5 linked regions of the Oryctolagus cuniculus genome follow. The protein of the gene in region 3 purifies or fractionates together with the protein of the main gene of each other region. This does not show direct contact. Links are inferred from orthologs where the notes say so. Each region holds a gene or a part of one and is shown on either strand. Other genes may lie near its edges.

The links.
Region 1: the proteins of RAD18 (region 3) and POLH purify together in Homo sapiens (affinity purification with western blotting; 7 studies listed by BioGRID, with this or other methods). This does not show direct contact. The link is inferred for Oryctolagus cuniculus from reciprocal best matches to the Homo sapiens genes RAD18 and POLH.
Region 2: the proteins of RAD18 (region 3) and SHPRH purify together in Homo sapiens (affinity purification with western blotting; 3 studies listed by BioGRID and IntAct, with this or other methods). This does not show direct contact. The link is inferred for Oryctolagus cuniculus from reciprocal best matches to the Homo sapiens genes RAD18 and SHPRH.
Region 4: the proteins of RAD18 (region 3) and SLF1 purify together in Homo sapiens (affinity purification with mass spectrometry; 4 studies listed by BioGRID and IntAct, with this or other methods). This does not show direct contact. The link is inferred for Oryctolagus cuniculus from reciprocal best matches to the Homo sapiens genes RAD18 and SLF1.
Region 5: the proteins of RAD18 (region 3) and SLF2 purify together in Homo sapiens (affinity purification with mass spectrometry; 3 studies listed by BioGRID and IntAct, with this or other methods). This does not show direct contact. The link is inferred for Oryctolagus cuniculus from reciprocal best matches to the Homo sapiens genes RAD18 and SLF2.

Annotation. Positions count from the first base shown.
Region 1 is NC_091436.1:126,462,360-126,465,874, forward strand, and holds part of POLH (DNA polymerase eta), read right to left. Parts: intron 2,316-3,515; coding exon 2,146-2,315; intron 1-2,145. UniProt on the Homo sapiens protein: DNA polymerase specifically involved in the DNA repair by translesion synthesis (TLS). Due to low processivity on both damaged and normal DNA, cooperates with the heterotetrameric (REV3L, REV7, POLD2 and POLD3) POLZ complex for complete bypass of DNA lesions.
Region 2 is NC_091436.1:22,333,614-22,337,738, reverse strand, and holds the start of SHPRH (E3 ubiquitin-protein ligase SHPRH), read right to left. Parts: upstream 2,812-4,125; 5' UTR 2,571-2,811; intron 2,466-2,570; exon of another isoform or gene 1,883-2,465; intron 1-1,882. UniProt on the Homo sapiens protein: E3 ubiquitin-protein ligase involved in DNA repair.
Region 3 is NC_091441.1:117,583,822-117,587,885, reverse strand, and holds the start of RAD18 (E3 ubiquitin-protein ligase RAD18), read right to left. Parts: upstream 2,813-4,064; 5' UTR 2,700-2,812; coding exon 2,649-2,699; intron 2,232-2,648; exon of another isoform or gene 2,139-2,231; intron 1-2,138. UniProt on the Homo sapiens protein: E3 ubiquitin-protein ligase involved in postreplication repair of UV-damaged DNA. Postreplication repair functions in gap-filling of a daughter strand on replication of damaged DNA.
Region 4 is NC_091445.1:17,190,682-17,194,196, reverse strand, and holds part of SLF1 (SMC5-SMC6 complex localization factor protein 1), read right to left. Parts: intron 2,657-3,515; coding exon 2,543-2,656; intron 2,389-2,542; coding exon 2,313-2,388; intron 1,294-2,312; coding exon 1,053-1,293; intron 1-1,052. UniProt on the Homo sapiens protein: Plays a role in the DNA damage response (DDR) pathway by regulating postreplication repair of UV-damaged DNA and genomic stability maintenance.
Region 5 is NC_091446.1:28,940,965-28,944,479, forward strand, and holds part of SLF2 (SMC5-SMC6 complex localization factor protein 2), read right to left. Parts: intron 3,204-3,515; coding exon 3,081-3,203; intron 2,363-3,080; coding exon 2,195-2,362; intron 890-2,194; coding exon 787-889; intron 1-786. UniProt on the Homo sapiens protein: Plays a role in the DNA damage response (DDR) pathway by regulating postreplication repair of UV-damaged DNA and genomic stability maintenance.

The sequences.
Region 1 (3,515 bases), on a different chromosome or scaffold from region 3:
AATATTTTTCATAGCTTGTAACTTATAGATTTTTTTTTAATGATTTACTTATTTTATTCAAAAGGTAGAGTTAGAGAAAGAGAGAGAGAGAGGGAGAGGGAGAGAGAGACTGAGAAATCTTCCATCCACTGGTTTATTTCCCAAGTGGCCACAATGGCCAGAGCTGGGCTGATCTGAAGCCAGGAGCCAGGTTCTTCTTCCGGGTCTCCTGTATGGGTGCAGGGGACCAAGCACTTGGGCCATCTTCTACTGCTTTCCCAGGCTATTAGCAGGGAACTGGATCAGAAGTGGAGCAGCAGGGACTCAAACCAGAGACCATATGGGATGTCGGCACTTACGCCACAGCACTGGCCCCAACTTACCCATTTTTTAAAAAAGATTTATTGGGGCCGGTGCTGTGGCGCAGCGGGTTAACGCCCTGGCCTAAAGCACTGGCATCCCATATGGAGCAGCCGCTCCACTTCTGATCCAGCTCTCTGTTATGGCCTGGGACAGCATTAGAAGATGGCCCAAGTCTCTGGGCTCTACACCCAGGAAGAAGCTCCTGCCTCTTGGCTTCAAATCTGCACAGCTCCAGCTGTAGCAGCCAATTGGGGAGTGAACCAATGGATGGAAGATCTCTCTCTCTCTCTCTACCTCTCCTCTCTCTGTTTAACTCTTTCAAATAATAAATCTTTTTAAAAAAAAGATTTATATATTTGTTTGAAAGGCTGAGCTAAAAAGAGATAGAAAGGGAGAGACAGAGAGTCGGCGCTGTGGTGCAGCAGGTTAATGCCCTGGCCTGAAGTGCTGGCATATGGGCACTGGTTCTAGTCCTGGCTGCTCTTCTTCTGATCCAGCTCTCTGCTATGGCCTGGGAAAGCAGTAGAAGATGGCCCAAGTCCTTGGGCCCCTACACCTATGTGGGAGACCCGGAGGAAGCTCCTGGCTCCTGGCTTCGGATCAGCACAGTTCTGGCTGTTGCAGCCATCTGGGGAGTGAACCAGCAGATGAAAGACCTCTCTCTCTGTCTCTACCTCTCTCTGTAACTCTTTCAAATAAATAAAATAAATCTTAAAAAAAGAAAGAAAGAAAGAAAGGGAGAGATGGAGGGATCTCCCATCTGCTGGTTCACTCCCCAAATGCCTTTAATGCCCAGTGTTGGGTCAGGCCAAAGCCAGGAGCCTGGAACTCCATCTGAATCTCTCACATGGTTGACAGGGGCCCAAGTATTCAGGCCATCTTCTGCTTTCCCAGGAGCATTAGCAAGGACCTGGATAGGAAGTAGAGCAGCCAGGACTTGAACCAGCACTCATACAGGATATCAGCAATGCAGGCGATGGCTTAATCATCTGTACCAGAATGCTGGCCCTGACTCATACATTTTTAAGTAAGGAAGGTTTCATATGAACACAGTACCACAGTTATCACCTGGTTATGTAAAACTGTTCAAAATAAACTGCTGAAAACAAATATACCAGCAAGTAAAAGTAAATTCTAAGAACACAGACTCTAACTTCAGTGACCCCATCATATTATATGTCTGCACACAGAACAATGTACCGATATATTTACATAAGCAATAACTTAAGTGATTCGCTTGAAAACCATTATTATCTGGATAGAAAATGAACATGCTTCAAAAAGAGGCTTTATCATGTATTTGGCTGTATTTTATAACTAGCAGAAGTGACACTTATATGATACCAGTGGAGCCTGTAACTAAGTTGGAATGTTTAGGTGGAAATTACCAATGAAAATAGGTCACTTTCATAAGTTATGAAAGATGCTTTTAAAACAGAACAATAAAGTCATTGAGAGAGAAGTGCCCAAGTGTCATGTTGAAACTTCTATTTTCCAAGTACAATCGGTCATTTCCCTGACTATAGGAATGAATACAGGCAGAGACAGTATCAGTTCACTGCCTACCACCTGTACCTGGGAGCTCAAATGTACTAACTGTAGGCAAGGAAGCCGCAGCTGAGCTGCCTTGATTCTGGGGTTGCTACATGTGCACCAAGGGATAGCCACTCTCCTCCGTAATAGGTGCTGCTAGACTGATTTATAAAGAGTGCCCCCAGCTGAAGAGCTCAGATGCCCACCAATTTTAGAGCTAAAACGAGGCCTAAGTTTCTTCTGAGAAGAAGAGCTAGGAAAAACACTCACCATTCAGTCTGGAGTCCAGAAGTATTACAGTTCCTGATGGCAGCAAAGGCATCCTGGCTCATCTTGTGAGCATCATAGCGAGTAATGGCACAGCAGCGGCGCAGGCTGCTCAGACGTTTGTCTCCTTGTACACGAATGCTCACAGCCAACTGGGTGGCCATCCTGTCATTCTGTGGGTGGAAGAGGACTGAGATCAGAAATAGTTAGCAGAAGCCTCTGTATTCCATATACTGAACTGCATGAGAGGAAATAAAAGGATCAAGGGTAACAGAAGAGTTTGGAAAACAGAAATAGTTTAAAATACAATACAGGGGGGCCAGCGCTGTGGCGTAGCGGGTGGAGCTGCCGCCTGCAGTGCCAGCATCCCACATGGGCGCTGGTTCGAATCCCGGCTGCTCCACTTCCTATCCAGCTCTCTGCTGTGGCCTGGGAAAACAGCAGAAGATGGCTCAAGCCCTTGGGCCCCTGCACCCATGTGGGAGACCTAGAGGAGCTCCTGGCTCCTGGCTTTAGATTGCCACAGCTCCGGCCGTTGCAGCCAATTGGGGAATGAACCAGTGGATGGAAGACCTCTCTCTCTCTCTGCCTCTCCTTCTCTCTGTGTAACTCTTTCAAGTAAAATAAATAAATCTTAAAAAAAAAAAAAAAAAAAAAAGACAATACAGGACAAAGAATAGTAAGTAAAGAACAAAGAATAGTAAGTAAAGAACAAGGCTCTTTATTCCAATATTTACTTACATAAACTATAAATGTACACTGAGTACATATTATGCACAGGTTAGGGACCAAGAGGAATGTAAAGGCATGTCCTATTTTCATACACCACACATGCTAACAGTACAGAATGTATACCATAGAATCACATTTTCTGAATAAAATTTTGATTACATGGTTCTACAAAAAGAGTCTGTGCTACTTCTGGGTATGAAGGAACTGATATTCTTACATTTTGTAACAGTAGAAATTTTCACTAGTACCTTTCTTTTAACCTTTATTTCTTTATTTGAAAGGCAGAGTTATGGACAGAGAGGGGACAAAAAGATCTTCTATCCATTGGGTCACTCCCCAAATGCCCACAACAGCTGGGGCTGTGCCAGGCTAAAGCCAGGAGCCAGAAGTTTCTTCTGGGTCTCCCATGTGGGTTGCAGGAGTCTGAGTACTTGGGCCGCCATCTGCTGTTTTCCCTGGCACATCAGCAGGGAGCTGGATTGCAAGTAGAGCAGCCGGGACTCAATCCAGTGCTCAAGAGGGATGTTACGATGGCATCTTGCTTAACACCGGCCCCAGTCCCTCCTCCTTACAGCCCAGCTCCAGAAGCTACAGTGGACTGACAGCCTCTAGAGAGCAGGATCCTTGCCTCCGTTTTCAGT
Region 2 (4,125 bases), on a different chromosome or scaffold from region 3:
CTCAGCCAAGTTTGAGAAGCCTTGTTATGGATAACCAGATGCCTACTAAAATCATTGTTTTTCCTCCCAAAAGATACAATATTAGAAAAAATGGCTGCCTGGCTTAGTTATGGTCCCATTACGAGTTCTAGCCAAAGGAATGTGAGTAGAAATAATATGTGCCATATTTCTTAAAACAATCTTTTAACAGGTATGATTGAACCAGAACATACTCCTTCATTTTTTTTATGTCCACTGGTAAGGCTCATCCAGTATCACTGAAATTATGTACAGTGCTATTATTTGCAATAATGTTTGCTTTCAACCTGATTCTTCTATCATTAGAGCCTTAGGGTAATTATCATTGATATTAAGTTGGGAAAAGTAAATACCAGCGTTTCCAGCAAAGCCCTCCCTTTGTCCAGTTCTCAACAAATATCTGTGATATTTGCCCTCACTCCCCAATCTGGTTTTTGATCAATATCCAGGGATAATTTCTTGAATCAAAGGAAATATTATTTAGTCAAAGATACTTATACCCAAAATGAAAATTGGCAAAATAAGTCAAGTACTGGTGAGATTCTGTATTTTAACCATATCCCATATCCTTCAGGTTTTCTTCAGAGCTCAAGGATCACATATCTTAAGGTTCTACTTCTTCCTCTTCTGCAAATATCAGCGTTTGTGTAAAATGTAATTATGCAAAGTTACTGGTATGGACCCAGTCTTCCCTGAGAGCCTTTTATTACCACAGAAGTTGTGTTAAAGGTCTCTGCTACTTGATCCCAAAGGCTGTAGTGTTCCTTTTGAACTACCTGAAATCTGGGCACTAACAGTATCCTATTCAGTGTTGTACTTTCAATGCCTGGTCAGTCAGGATGTAAATGATACAAAATATAAGGCGAGACAAAGATCTCTAACTTCCTGAATATCTTCCCCATTTTAAGGACCTAAAGGTCCTTATATTGTTTTCAGGCGAAATCTCTTATTCACGTTCTAGAAGACCACAAGTATTATGATACTTTGCTTTATTGTTTATGGCCCAAAATGAGGCAGAGAATATTGAGTGAAGTATCTCCAGCAAAACAGAGTGCCAGAAAAATAAACGCAAATGTTTACATTGCTAAGACAACAAGTGAATCTCAATTAAACTTAAATTTTGATTCCTTTCCCTCCAAATTACCTCTTCATTAAGACACATACAAATCCTGAATTATAACAAATCCATGGTAGACCTGGGTTTGGGCTATCAAGGCACCAAGAAGTCTACATTTGCCACACTGAGGTGCACAGCATTACTTTATGCAAGAGAAGTCCAATTATTTCTGAAACCTGAAAAGCTCTTAATGCCCTCGCATTATCACAATCTGTTTCTTTTCTGTGTTGATTACTCGGGCTAATTGAGAGTATTCTCATCTACTGAACTCTAAATTAATATTAGATATAAGTTTGAAAAATGTCTTACTAACAAGCTTTGTCACCAGCAGATTGCTTCCCCCAAATTCTAACTGAAACTCTTAATAAAAGATTTGGTTTAATAGTAGTGTAAGTGCACTCATTTTGAGCTGGGCAAAAGATAAGAGTATCTTTCAAGAGCAAACCACTGGACTCTCAATGTCGGGCTTGTTTTGTTAACCGGGCCTTGAAACCTCTAGGAAGTGCGGGTTATCCCAATACTGCTCAGCTTCCCGCAGGGTCCCTGATCCCAAGCCAAGCACCGCTTTCTGTGATGGCACAGATATTGTGTATTGTTTCTATTCAGGGGAGTTCCACCGTCCCTGCTTACTGCCCACTGGAATCGTTTAAAATAGCAGTAACGACTTTAAAACTATTTCATTTTGTTCCGTTACAGCCCCAAATCAATTTAAGTACAACTAGGAAAACGCCAAACGAAGATTTCTACCTTGTACTAAGCTTCCTGGGAAAAGACAGAAGCTGAATGATCATCATTTAAGACAGACAGTGACAACCGTCTTCGTTCATAAACCCAACATCTTTCACGGCGTCGAAACGTGCAATGCCCAGGGTGGTTCTGGAAGCCAGTGTCACCCGTCTGATTTCCACGAGAACTTTCCAGTGGGAGTAACTTACAAGCCTCGCCTTTCACTATGTGCAATCCGGTGCACCCAAAAGCTAGGCGGCTGCCCAGCTCTGCCTCAGAGGCTTATCTGCTCGACTCCAGGGATACCCGCTCGGTTATCTCCCCTAAGATGCAAAAGCGGATGCGAGAGTCGGAGCCGCGCTGTCAGCGGCCGACCGCTCCCAGCAGGCCGGGCAGACCCCGGCGAGGCCGAGGGGCGCGACCATGGACACTGCAGCGGGGCTCCCGCACAACACACCGCAGGCCCCAGTCTATCCGGAGCAGCAGAACCTCCCTCCCCACCGCCCCCGCTTTTAGGAAAGCCGCGGAGGCCCGAGGCCCGCGAGCCGGGGACGGGGACGCCAGGAGACTCGCGCAGCGGCTTCCTCTCCATCCAAAAGCTTCCCCGGCTCCAGGACAGCCCCCGTCCTCCCTCCGGGGCCCGGAGAGGCCGGAGACGTCTTCCTCCCCCGACCTCTGACCTCTGACCCTCCATCACCCAAGCGCTCACCCAAGCTGCTTCTCCAAATACTTGAGTGGGTGTGCACCGGGTCCGGAACCCGCTAATGCTCCCTCAGAGTCCAGGCATTCATTCGCTACGCACGGAGCATCCGCCCTATGTGGGCACGCGCGTTGTGTGTTGTGTTGTGGCCTCCGGGGGCCCAGAAGCCACAGCGCTTAGCTGCCGGGCGCGCGCAGGAGCGTGAGGTCAAGGTGAACGCGCACGTCGGGCGCCCCGCCCCTTTCCTCCCTTCTCGGCTTCTAGAGCCTCTTTTGCGCAAGTACAGTTGGAGTCTCGCGATAGCTATGCCGCACATTAATGAAGACAGGATTGGCTGACGTCCAGAAGAAAGAGGCGGGACAGTAAGCAAATATAGGCAGCATCGCAGGGGCGGGGTTCTGCTTGCCGCCGGAAGCAAGAGGTAGTTAAATCATTTGTATATTTAGTAAGAAAGCAGAAAAGAATTCTCCAGAACTTATCTACTTAATTACTTCAAGAAAGAAGTGACTTATTAGGTGCGAATGAAGCATGCCTCTCTTAAAAAACATTTGTTAAGATTTACGAAGGAAATGTGAGGAAATATTTTTAAATAAGAATTCTGCTGAAGCTAGCCTTCCATCATCTTAGTTTTAAAGTTTCTGTTTTCTCCTCCCACCTCTTACAGAAGGAAACTTTCGCTTAGTTAACTTTGGTATAACTCTGGAAGGTTTTACAAAAGCCTGTAAATTAACTTCCGGGAAATATTAGGCAGTCAGTCAGTGAGTGTGTACCTAATAAGGACTCAACATTTATACTTTGGCGCGGGGCGTCTCAGATGTGTGTGATTCCAGAAGAGCTAAAGTAACTGCTTGCCTAACACGACCTCCTGTGCTGTGGAAACAATCTAGAGGAGCCCTTTTCCTGCTTATCACAGACCCCAACAGCCTGAAAGACTCTATTTACATAATCTAAAACCTGTCAAACTAGACAAATCAATTGCACTATCCAAAGTTTCATGAGACAAGTTTGGAAAACTGCTAACGCTGTGACAGTGGACAAGCAGGATTCTTCTTCATTAAGGAATTGATCATTTCCCCAAATACATGATGCAATGAAACCTTTGTTCCACGGTGTGATAAGGAACTGGGTATTTAAACAAATATTATGCTAAAAAATGTTATCCTTGATAGCTTTATCACTTCTCACCATTGGAGGAGTGAAGTGGGCTCATGGATTGTCTGAAATATTTGGCTTCTGATGACAGGCAGAAATAGTTAAAAAAAAATAGCACAGCATCTTTATTCACCTGGCTTGGGGTTACTTACAGACATAATTTCGTTAACACTGTGCAGGATATTAAACTGCAGATCAAATTGCAAATTCTGTGATGTGATTGCATTATAGACATAGAATTCTAGGCTCTACCTTCCAGTGGTTACAATGAAACAAAATTCTCCCTTATGTTCAATCTGGTATTTGCCAACTACCCTGTACATCCATTGAGAAATTTCCCTATGGAAGAATGTTTTTCAGGTTTAGAATTACCAGAGCTCATTTCAGAAATCATGGTTCACTTTTGCATTTT
Region 3 (4,064 bases):
ATAAATAAATCTTAAAAAAAAAAAAAAAAAAAAAAGGCAGGGGTCAGCGTTCACGTTCTAACGCACACTTCTTCAAAGTCGGAAGAGAAATCGACAGCAGCCCAGACCCCGGAGCCTGGGGGCCAGGACAGTCTCGGGAAGCCCCCAGCACCAGGCCAACCGCAAAGCCCAGGGCCCGGAGCTGCCGAGGGCGCCACCACGGCGACCCACAGCCACATGCAGGAGGACTGAAGGGAAACAGGAGGGGACACTAACAGCGGCTCTGTCTGACGCTAAGGTCACCAGCAGTGTTCCTTGGCTCCTTCTTTATGCCAGTCTGAATTGTTATTATTTTTAATGTGGACACATCTTATATTTATAATGTGTCCCAATCAAAAAAAAAGCTTATTACAGCCAAACCAGGGAAATAAACAGTAACACGCCCTAGTCTCCCGTTACTCTGCGGGACGGCTACTTCAGGGACACCGAGAGCACTGCGGGAGGCGCCGGGCAGAGGCAGCCTCTCGGGCTCTCAGGCTCCCTCGCACAACCCTCGGCTGCGGGAGGGCAGGGCCGGAGCTACCGCGACACTCGCCACACGCATGCCAATGCATGCCACACACACACCACACACAAACCACATGTGTGCCACACATACGCCACGCCACACGCATGCCATGCATGCACCACATGCATGCCACACGTGCCTCACAACATACATGCCTGGAGGGGACGGGGACAGCCAGCAGGCGTCCCGGGGGAGCCTGCGTTTGGAGACAGTGACCGGGAGCACAGGATGCGAGGACAACTCAACAACTACAGAAAGTCCTGGGGACAACAGCGCCCTTTGCAACGTGCTTGGACACTGTGGACTTCTCAGAAACACGTGCACGCAGGCACCACGTCTCGCTGCGGGTCTGCGTGAGTGACAGCTGCACGCAGCACTGGAGGAACCAGGGCAGCTCCTGGGTTCTGTCCCTGGACGCGCGACAACACGGCCGGGACACCAGAGGGCGCTGGTTTCCGCCTTCAGAACCCGCAGGAGGCCAGCGAGCTCGGCTGGGCGCAGTCAACCGGGGCTGAGCTCTGAGAGCGCTCGGTGTCCGACTCCACCCACCGGGGACGCGGAGCCCGGCCCAGGATCCCTCTCCACCCACCGGGGACGCGGAGCCCGGCCCAGGATCCCTCTCCATCCACCGGGGACGCGGAGCCCGGCCCAGGGTCCCTCTCCATCCACCGGGGACGCGGAGCCCGGCCCCGGGGTCCCGCTCCATCCACCGGGGGACGCGGAGCCCGGCCCGGGGGTCCCTCTCCACCCACCGGGGACGCGGAGCCCGGCCCAGGATCCCTCTCCATCCACCGGGGACGCGGAGCCCGGCCCGGGGGTCCCTCTCCACCCACCGGGGACGCGGAGCCCGGCCCCGGGGTCCCTCTCCATCCACCGGGGACGCGGAGCCCGGCCCAGGATCCCTCTCCACCCACCGGGGACGCGGAGCCCGGCCCCGGGGTCCCTCTCCACCCACCGGGGACGCGGAGCCCGGCCCCGGGGTCCCGCTCCATCCACAGGGGACGCGGAGCCCGCTCTGAACAGCTTGAATAGGGTTACAGAACAGGCAAGTCCGCAGGGCTGCCGCGCGGGTCCCTGTTCTCTCGCCAACGCAGCCCTGCCGGCAGCACCAAGCACGCCTTAGGTGCTAACGCTTACCTCGCCCGGCACCCTCGATCCACCCGTGCAGGATTCTGAGCACCTGCTAAGCCTGGGTCGCTACCAACACTCGTCAGCCTACACCACCCGTCCCACAACCCCCTGAGTACACTCAGACTCATAGGGGCCACAATGAACCAGGGCCACTGGACCCCGAACCCACGCCTTCGTCCCCTGCACCTCAGCTGCACGGCCTGGTCCGCCCCTGTGTGCCCCGTCCACTCGGGGCTATCTCAGGCCACCCCGTCAGTCACTGCCGGGATACCCCAGGTCCCGGCAGCGACGTCAGCAAAGGCCCTGGGTGACCGCAGCCGCCCCCAGGTCCCTCTGCGGAGCCCACGGGGCAGACCCACAGCCCCCCCCCCCCCCCCCGGGTAGACCCAAGCGCAGAGGGAGGCGGCCTCACAAACACAAAGGACGAGAGGCAGGGCGAGGCCGCCCCGGCGAGCTGCACCTGCCCTGGAGCGCATCCTGCAGGAGTCCTGGGCCGTGCACGGACACCGGGGGCAAACCTAACCGAGGTCCACTCAACCCACGGCCGGCGCCGGGCTGAGGCCCCGATCTCCGGTTAGGAGAGACAGGGAGACGGGCCGCTGCTGGGGGCAGGCTTCGGGGCTGCGGCCGGGAGCAGAGGGCGCGCACGAGCAGCAGGAGGGAAGCCGGCTGCTCTCCCGCGCGCGGAGATCGTCACGTGAGGCCGCGCACACGGGAGCCCACGGCAAGGCCGGGCCGCCACTGTCGCGCCCACGGCTGCCCGCCATGCCGCTGCCGGCATCGCACCGCGCGACGGCCACCCTCCCGGCTCGCCGCGACACACCAACGCCCGTCCCTGTCACTTCTCAGCGGAGGACGCTCGGGCCCAGAGCCGCGCGCCCGGCGACCGGCAGGGCACAGCCGGGCACCCGGCCCCGCTCGCCGCTCGCGCCCCGTCGTCGCCCCTCTCCGGGCCCCAAGGAGCCCTCACCTTCATGACTGCCAGGCCCGGCGGCCACCGAGGCTCGGCCAGGGAGTCCATGGTCACTCCCGAGGATGCTGGGGGTCGGCCGCCCGCTGGCCTCCCGCGCTGCGCTCCCACTCGAAATTCCCCGCGCTATTGAGCTACGTCAGCAGAGCGCGCCGCGGCCGAGACGCGCGCGGGGCCTGCCGGGAGTTGTAGTAGGTGGGCGGAGCGTGGGCCGGGCCGTTCGTACTGCGCACGCGCCGGGCGTCTTCCTGCCAGGCGCTGGTGAGGAGAGCCGGGAGCCGGGTCGGTGCAGCGGGTGAAGTCCCCGCCCGCGGGCGCTGGCGGCCGCTGTGGCTGCCCCGTTCCTGAGCCCACGCCTTGCCAATCCTCCTGGAAAAGCCGCAGGAGATGGCCCGGTGTCCGGGTCCCTGCTCCCGGGTCACCCAGACGGTCACGGGCTCTTGGCCGCGCTGGCCCAGGCCTGGCCCTCTGGGGAGTGACCAGGGACGGAGGACCTCTCTGTCTCTCCCTCTCAAATAAAAAGAACCGTGAAAAGACTCGTTCCCGCTTTGACAGGAGGGGGCGGGGTCTGGTTTACTCTCCCAGGACGGGCTGTGCCCCAGGGAGATGGCGGCTGCGGCTGCGACTCAGCTGACACAGGAGTGGAACGTCCAGGAGAGGCCCCTCTGCAGCCGGTCTCGGGGAGACCACAGCCATCGAGGTCAGGGCCCGCGCTGTCCGGCCCAGGTGCACCTGCTGCCCACAGGCAAAATGCAGAGGGGGTGAGGGTGGTCGTCCTGGTGCAGGGGGTGCACGCTGGAGGCGGGCGCCCAGCAGAGGCCCCCTGCTGTGCTGTCCTGGGACGCGGGAGCCCCGGGGAGCCCCACCCCAGACAGTGGAGCTGAATCCAAGTTACTGCCGGTGAGGCCCGGGGGCAGGGGCCGCAGCGGCCTGAGAGGCGAGGAAAACGCTGGGCAGACGCAGGGAGCCCGGCTGCAGACAACGAGCGGAAGTTCAGGGAGCCGTGACGTCACCCCGGAGCCGTGACGTCACCCCAGAGCCGTGCCGCCCGGGAAAGACGCTCAGGAGCTGCCACACCCGTCGATGGCCTCATTTGGGCCCTGATTTGAAAAAACAACTTTAAATGACATTTCTGGAACAGTCAAGGAACTGTGAATGTGAGTGGTGCATTTGTCATATTGGGCAGTTATCACTGATTTGGTCAGTGTGGTTTGGGATGGTCCCTGTGTAGAAAATGTCATTTTTAGAGGTGGGCCGGTTGAGATGTGATGTCATTGGTTTACTTGAATCTCTAAAAAGTCAAAGGAAACTTTGGGAACAAAAAGTAATTGTTAAATCTCGAAGAGCGACACGGTTATTAATTAATCAGTCTGTGTCCTGTGAGCTTGAAACAATTCGTAATGGAAATTAGGGGTA
Region 4 (3,515 bases), on a different chromosome or scaffold from region 3:
AAAAAGACAAATTTAGTCTATTGTGACAAATAAGGCAACTGGTATTGGTGGTACAAAATTAAATGTACAAGGACACAAAGGAACATTAAAGGATGATGAGAATGTTACAGATCTTGATTACAGTGAGGGAAATATGAGTGTATAAGCTTGCCTAAATTATCAAAATGTATACTTAAAAGGGATATATCTTACTATCCATAAATTATATTTCAGAGACAAAAAAACAAATCACTACCTCCTGCCTCTGGCAAAAATGACAGAAGTTTTAAAATTTAGTTTATCCAACAAGGTGGCTTTTAAAAAATATATACAGAGGGGCCAGTGCTATGGCGCAACGGGTTAAAGCCCTGGTCTACAGTGCCAGCACGTTGAGTCCTGGCTGCTTCACTTCTGACTCAGCTCTCTGCTTTTGCCTGGGAAAGCAGAAGGTGGCCCAAGTCCTTGGGTCCCTGCACCCATGTGGGAGACCCAGAAGAAGCTCCTGGCTCCTGCTTCAGATTGGCGCAGCTCCAGCAATTGTGGCCAACTGGGGAGTGAACCAGCGGATGGAAGATCTCTCTCCCTCCCTCCCTCCCTCCCTCTCTCCTCTCTCTCTCTCTCTCTCTCTACCTCTCCTTCTCTGTGTAACTCTTTCAAATAAATAATAAATCTTTTAAAAAAAATCTATATATAAAAAAAGAATGAGATTAAATTATAGTGGAAACAGTATAAATCATGAAGACAGCACTACATAAATGCACAATAAAGCCTTAAATATTATGTAATATCTTACAAGCAAAAATCTTAAGAGCTTCGAAACTAAAAAAACTTGCAATTATTGTTTATTTTGAGATGTACAGAAGAAATAACATGGGAAGTAAAACATACACTGTAATACAGATTTTGTTCTATTAAACACACAAAAACTTAAAAGTGATGGCTTAGAGATCAAAGAGTAAATTACCATGGCTCCCAAGTTTTAAGCTAAGAATTTCAGAGCTATACAAAGGTATTCATACAAATCATAGCTGTTTTCTCATCCTTGCTTTAGCTTTTATGAGCTTTCATCATACCTTATAAGAGAATCACTTCGTTTATCAGCTCTCACAAGGAGGACAACCTTCCACCTGTGGAAGGCTCCTGGAGCACCAGTGCGTTTCAGTTCTTCTCGCCACCTTTTAGGTGCAGATTGCATTTGAGGTGAATAATGGGAGTCTTTTTCAATTTTATATCCCCATTCATAAGTGGTTTCATCAAGCCATCTTCCACTTCTGGCACTATGAATTATGTAGTCCTTTGTTAGTACCCACTTTCCTAGAATGCAAAAAAAACTGTCCATCACAAAATAATTTTGGTTTTGATGGATGATAAACAATAAAAATCAAGCCATCAAGAAAAAGTCAACCTGTTCAACATCAGATTCTTCATCCAAATTGTTTTATTTTTGTTTTTCTAAATTTTTGATTGTAACAGGTCTACAGCATCAATGAACATAGTATGTAATCTTTCCCATGACAATTCAAAATCTAAATACTGTTAAATCTAAAGCTTTAAAATTCAAAATAAAATGTCATTATATTTTATTATTGTGATTATTTACTATTTGGGCTAACTTTATATTTTTAATTATATGCTAAAAACTCTTCCAATAATGTTTACAGCACTGCTAAACCCTGTAAAACAAATCTATCAAGTTAGAGAAATTTTCAGGGCATTTAATAATATGCTGCAGTTTCTTTACCCAGACATCAATAACCGTTTTAAACAATGTATTCTTTCATTTGTGGAGCTGAGAAATCCAAGTGGTTTTATTCTAAATTAAACTACAAATACGTTTCTGTTAGTGTACAAACTTACTGAATGGTAAAAAAGGAAGAAAGAAGAATAAGTCATAACTTGGGCCTATAAAATTTACTATCTAATAACATAAATGTACGACCACTGTTACAAAGCATGGAAAGGTGGGGAAACTCAGGAGGGAAAACAAAACATAAAATTATTCCAAGAATGGACCAAGAAAAGAAAGTTGATTGAGAACAGATCAGTCTTCAACAAAGGCTTAAGATGTTGGCATTCTGCACTAACCTTTTTGTTACAACCTGTTTTTCTTAAATAAAGCACTTACACCAAACCTTTGGTAAAGTACATATTTTTGCCTATTTTACATTTTTCATGTGGTAGAACATTTTACTTCTGAATACAACAAAAAATACATATTTTCAGAAACAAATTTATATTTGGTGTAATGAACACATTATTGTTTCAGAGATTAGGATACTTTTTCTTTAACATGCAGTTTGTTTAAAGGGTTGGAGGCAAGGCAGTTCACTTACCAGCTGCACAAGCTGCTAAAAATTTTTCACTCTTACAAAGACGTTCAGCTATAAGATGTGTACAATTTTTGTATTTCTGAAAGGAAAAATCCACATAAATATTAGAGATTTCCTTAACAACAAATCCTTTACATTTTTAAAATACCAAGCAGCATTTTATTATTGTCAGTATTTTAATTCTCTTTCAATTATACTTTTAACATTTTGATGAGTTAAGCTTCTGTACTTACCTCACTCTTAATAAAAGTGCAATCTAGTTTTAAAAGCAATTTGCCTAGAGCTTCCTTTTCTTCCATCTTAAATCCTGTCATCTGGATTACATGCTTTGGGGCATCATCTTCCATCTAATGTACAGACACATACAGAAAACATATGTTAAAGACATTATTCACAGAGACGACACTCTGACTACTAAATATAAAAACATTAAAACCATTTCACACACAATAAACATGTAAGGCTTAATTGTAAATACTTTATGGGCTGCCAAAGCAAACACATGGCCATTCTACTATATTATAAATACTATCAAATAAAAATGTACAGAAAGCAACGAAAAAAAAAAACTGCTGTAATGCTATCACAAAAAGTTTTCTATAAAAGTTATCTTCTGAATTTCACTATGTTTCTTGAGAGTTAAATATTATATAGAAATGCAACAAAAACCCCACCATATTATATTCCTCTTTTTAGATGAATAATTGCTGTTTTTATAATCTGAATGCTTATTAACAGAGTAACATTTAAACATGTTTGGTTTAATTTAAAAATTATTAAATTACTTGGACATACTGGAGTCAGTGTAAAGTTTTCATTTTCAAGTCATATTGTCTTTATAATAGGAATAAATATGATGGAAAAATCTAAGTTATTAGTAGCACTTTTGGTCAAAGTATGAACCCAGAGTAAATGAAAACATGACCAACTGTGTACAATAGTGGAAATCAAGAAAGTCTTCTTAGAGCAATTTCTTTCCTTTTAAAATGATTAAATATGAAAGTGAAATTAAACTTGCAAAGAGTAAAGGGAAATAAGAAACACAGGCACAAAAAAACAGGATGTCCTGATTCAAACACTCTAAACACATAAATCATCTACTTCAGTAACAACGTTTATAATAACTTAGTAATGTTTTTAAAACATCATATGACAAACTAATGGTCTAAATCACAGATCAAATTTATAATTAGGAAAAGTGGTATC
Region 5 (3,515 bases), on a different chromosome or scaffold from region 3:
ACATTCAGAATTTTATTAAAGTGGAACACTCTCACAACCTGGGAATAACTTGTCATTCATAATCTTCTTTGAATATGGGAGGAGGCTAATTCCAACTGAGCATCATCATAGTACTTGCTGATGTAGCAGCTAGTCAAAAAGTCCCTCTCCATAGCTTCCTAGCTCTTCTAGGATGTACTGCATTTAACCCTAAATTGGATGATACAATACTTCTATATTAATGATGTCGTTTGCCTAAAGGGACAAAGTACCTAGAGTAATACCAGGACTCTACATATAAAATCAATATCATCTATATTTTTAAAAGTTACACTTAAAAATAAAAATTAAGATATTCAAGTGGATTTAAGTAGAAAATATAAATAGAAAAAAGAGAAACAGTTGGATTTACACACACACACACACACACACATATGAACGAATGGGGAAATATTAGTATACAATAAAATCCCTGAAAATGAATATTGGTACCCCTAGAAATAAAACAAAATTTAGGGAATGTAAGCATTTGAAGATCCTTTCTAAAACTAACTGTAACAGTGATTTACTGGTGTGATGAAGTGCCTCAGACACATATAACTTTATTGACTATCCTGCATACTATCTGTATTAACATTTCCTTTAAATGCATTCAGACTCCTTTTGTATATTCTAATCCACTGAAATCACGGGTTTGATATATTAATTTTCTCCTAGGCATATGCAAGTAAAATTACATATAAAAACTTGCTTTTGACTGGGAAATACAGTAGCAGGCAACTATAACCCTCCAAACATTTCTCTTACCCGAAATAGCCACTTTAACACAGGTACAGGACACTGGACATAATGATAAGCAGAGGTGAGGAAGCCTTGTGTTGTCAAAAAAATCTGATCTGTTTTTCCTGATCTGAAAAAATAAAGTGAAATCAATGACTATTACTTTCATGGCAAAGCATTTCTACTACCACCACATCTGACACAATCAAGACAATAAAAAGCGAATCATCCTGTGTAGGTGGATCCCACACCAATATAGACAGGTTACTCACAAAACAAATTCAACTGATGGCATAAAGCTGATGCGATCTATTATTTCAGCTTCACGCCTGTCTAGTAGGCAACGCTACATTTGTTGGCAGTGTTGAAAGAGCCTATAAAATCTTAGGACCTCCTCTGCTTTTGCTAGCTTGCAGAACGCTGTTTCGTAAAACTCAGCACCAGAACTGATATGATCTCTCTAGCTCTAAGATATCAAGTACCTAGAGAAATCAGACTAGCTAGGTAGAGATTACTTATCCATACTAACATCTGGTTTGTGGTTGAGATTACTTGTCTATACTAACATCTAATTTTGCTTTTTTTTTTTTAAACTTTATTTACTTATTTGAAAGGCAGAGTTACAGAGAGGCAGAGGCAGGCCGGTGCTGTGGCTCACTAGGCTAATCCTCCACCTGCAGCACCGGCACTCCGGGTTCTAGTCCCAGTTGGAGCGCCAGTTCTGTCCTGGTTGCTCCTCTTCCAGTCCAGCTCTCTGCTGTGGCCTGGGAAGGCAGTGGAGGATGGCCCAAGTGCTTGGGCCCTGCACCTACATGGGAGACCAAGAGGAAACACCTGGCTCCTGGCTTCGGATCGGCGTGGCACGCCAGCTATAACGGCCATTTGGGGGGTGAACCAATGGAAGGATAGACCTTTCTCTCTGTCTCGGTCTCTCTCTCACTAACTCTGTCAAAACAAAAACAAAAACAAAACAAACAAAAAACAGAGAGGCAGAGGCAGAGAGAATCTTCCATCCACTGGTTCACACCCCAGATGGCTAACAGCTGGAGCAGGGCTGTCTCTTCCTCTCACTGTCTGTAACTCTGCCTCTCAAAATAAATAAATAAAATCTTACATAAAAAAAAAAAAAAGAATGACAGAGAAAAAGAATAGTGAAACCAACATACTGGCCCTAGACTTTATACCTCTTACCCTTCTTTAACTTAAGAAAGAAATAAACTCTTGTTTAAGCTCCTTTTACTCTGACAGTCACTGCTATTTATGGATCTTAATCCTAACTAATAAAAGCATGTCAACTTTCCTATCCTGCTTCCTATAATTAAGTAAAATATCATAAAGGGCAAAAAAGGATTAGGAAACCGGAAAATTACATTGGTCAGAAGTCTTTTAAAATAATTTTTATAGAGAAAAAGATATAATGTTAATTTCTACTTACTTAAGAATAAGCTTTTCTACAGCACTTTGTCCGATAAAACCAGAGTCTCTTAAATCCAAGGTATACTGATTGAAAATTTTTCCAGAATTAAGGAAATTAAATATTTCTTCACCTGGATGATGATCAGGAATAGCATCAATTGTAACTGAAAATTTCTTTAGAAATTCCCTGAAACATAAAACATGTTACTTGAATACCAAATAGTTATACTGCACATGGTTTTGTACTTAAAAGTTGGGTGCAAAGAAAACTTTACGTCCAATGTTAATCCCAGGTTAGACGACCAGCCGGAGAAAAAGTATGCTTTGCTGCTCCCAATTTTTGTCTCTTATGAGAAGGAACAATAATCAGTACAAAAGAAAAGGCGTAACTTGCCTCTAACATTTGCCTTTTAATACCATCACAGACGATTAGAAACCCAGTAAAGATTCATGAAGGAAATAATCATCAAAGGCCTATTTATTTTACAAAAAAACAAAAATTATATTTTATTTTTTTTGACAGGCAGAGTGGACAGTGAGAGAGAGAGAGAGAGAGACAGAGAGAAAGGTCTTCCTTTACCGTTGGTTCACCCTCCAATGGCCGCCACGGCTGGTGCGCTGCGGCCGGCGCACCGCACTGATCCGATGGCAGGAGCCAGGTACTTATCCTGGTCTCCCATGGGGTGCAGGGCCCAAGTACTTGGGTCATCCTCCACTGCACTCCCTGGCCACAGCAGAGAGCTGGCCTGGAAGAGAGGCAACTGGGACAGAATCCGGTGCCCCAACCGGTACTAGAACGCGGTGTGCTGGCGCTGCAAGGCGGAGGATTAGCCTAGTGAGCCACGGTGCCGGCCAAAAAACAAAAACTGTAAAATGACATACATACATTATAAAAAATACCATACCTGTGTTCTTCCAAGAGGCCATCTTCATCATCTGTACTATCTTGATCTCCGATTCTGATTGGGGATTTAATGCCTCGGCCCTGCCTTATATCTTCTTGTAGCTGCTTCTGCAGTTCATCTAGCCTGAGGATTAAAAGAATGCTATAATAAATAATTCATCCTAAAAATTAAAAAAAAACTTAGTAAGTTAAATCATGTCTCCCCAATACATCATGACATATAATATAATATACCATTTTCAGTAAAACATGAAAAGTCTGTTTCTTTTTTAAAGATTTATTTTATTTATTTGAAAGTCAGAGTTACACAGAGAGAGAAGGAGAGGCAGAGAGAGAGAGAGAGAGAGAGAGAGAGAATCTTCCATCTGCTGGTTCACTCCCCAGATGGCCGCAAAGGCCAGAGCTGGGCCGATGCGAAGCCAGGAGCCAGGAGCTT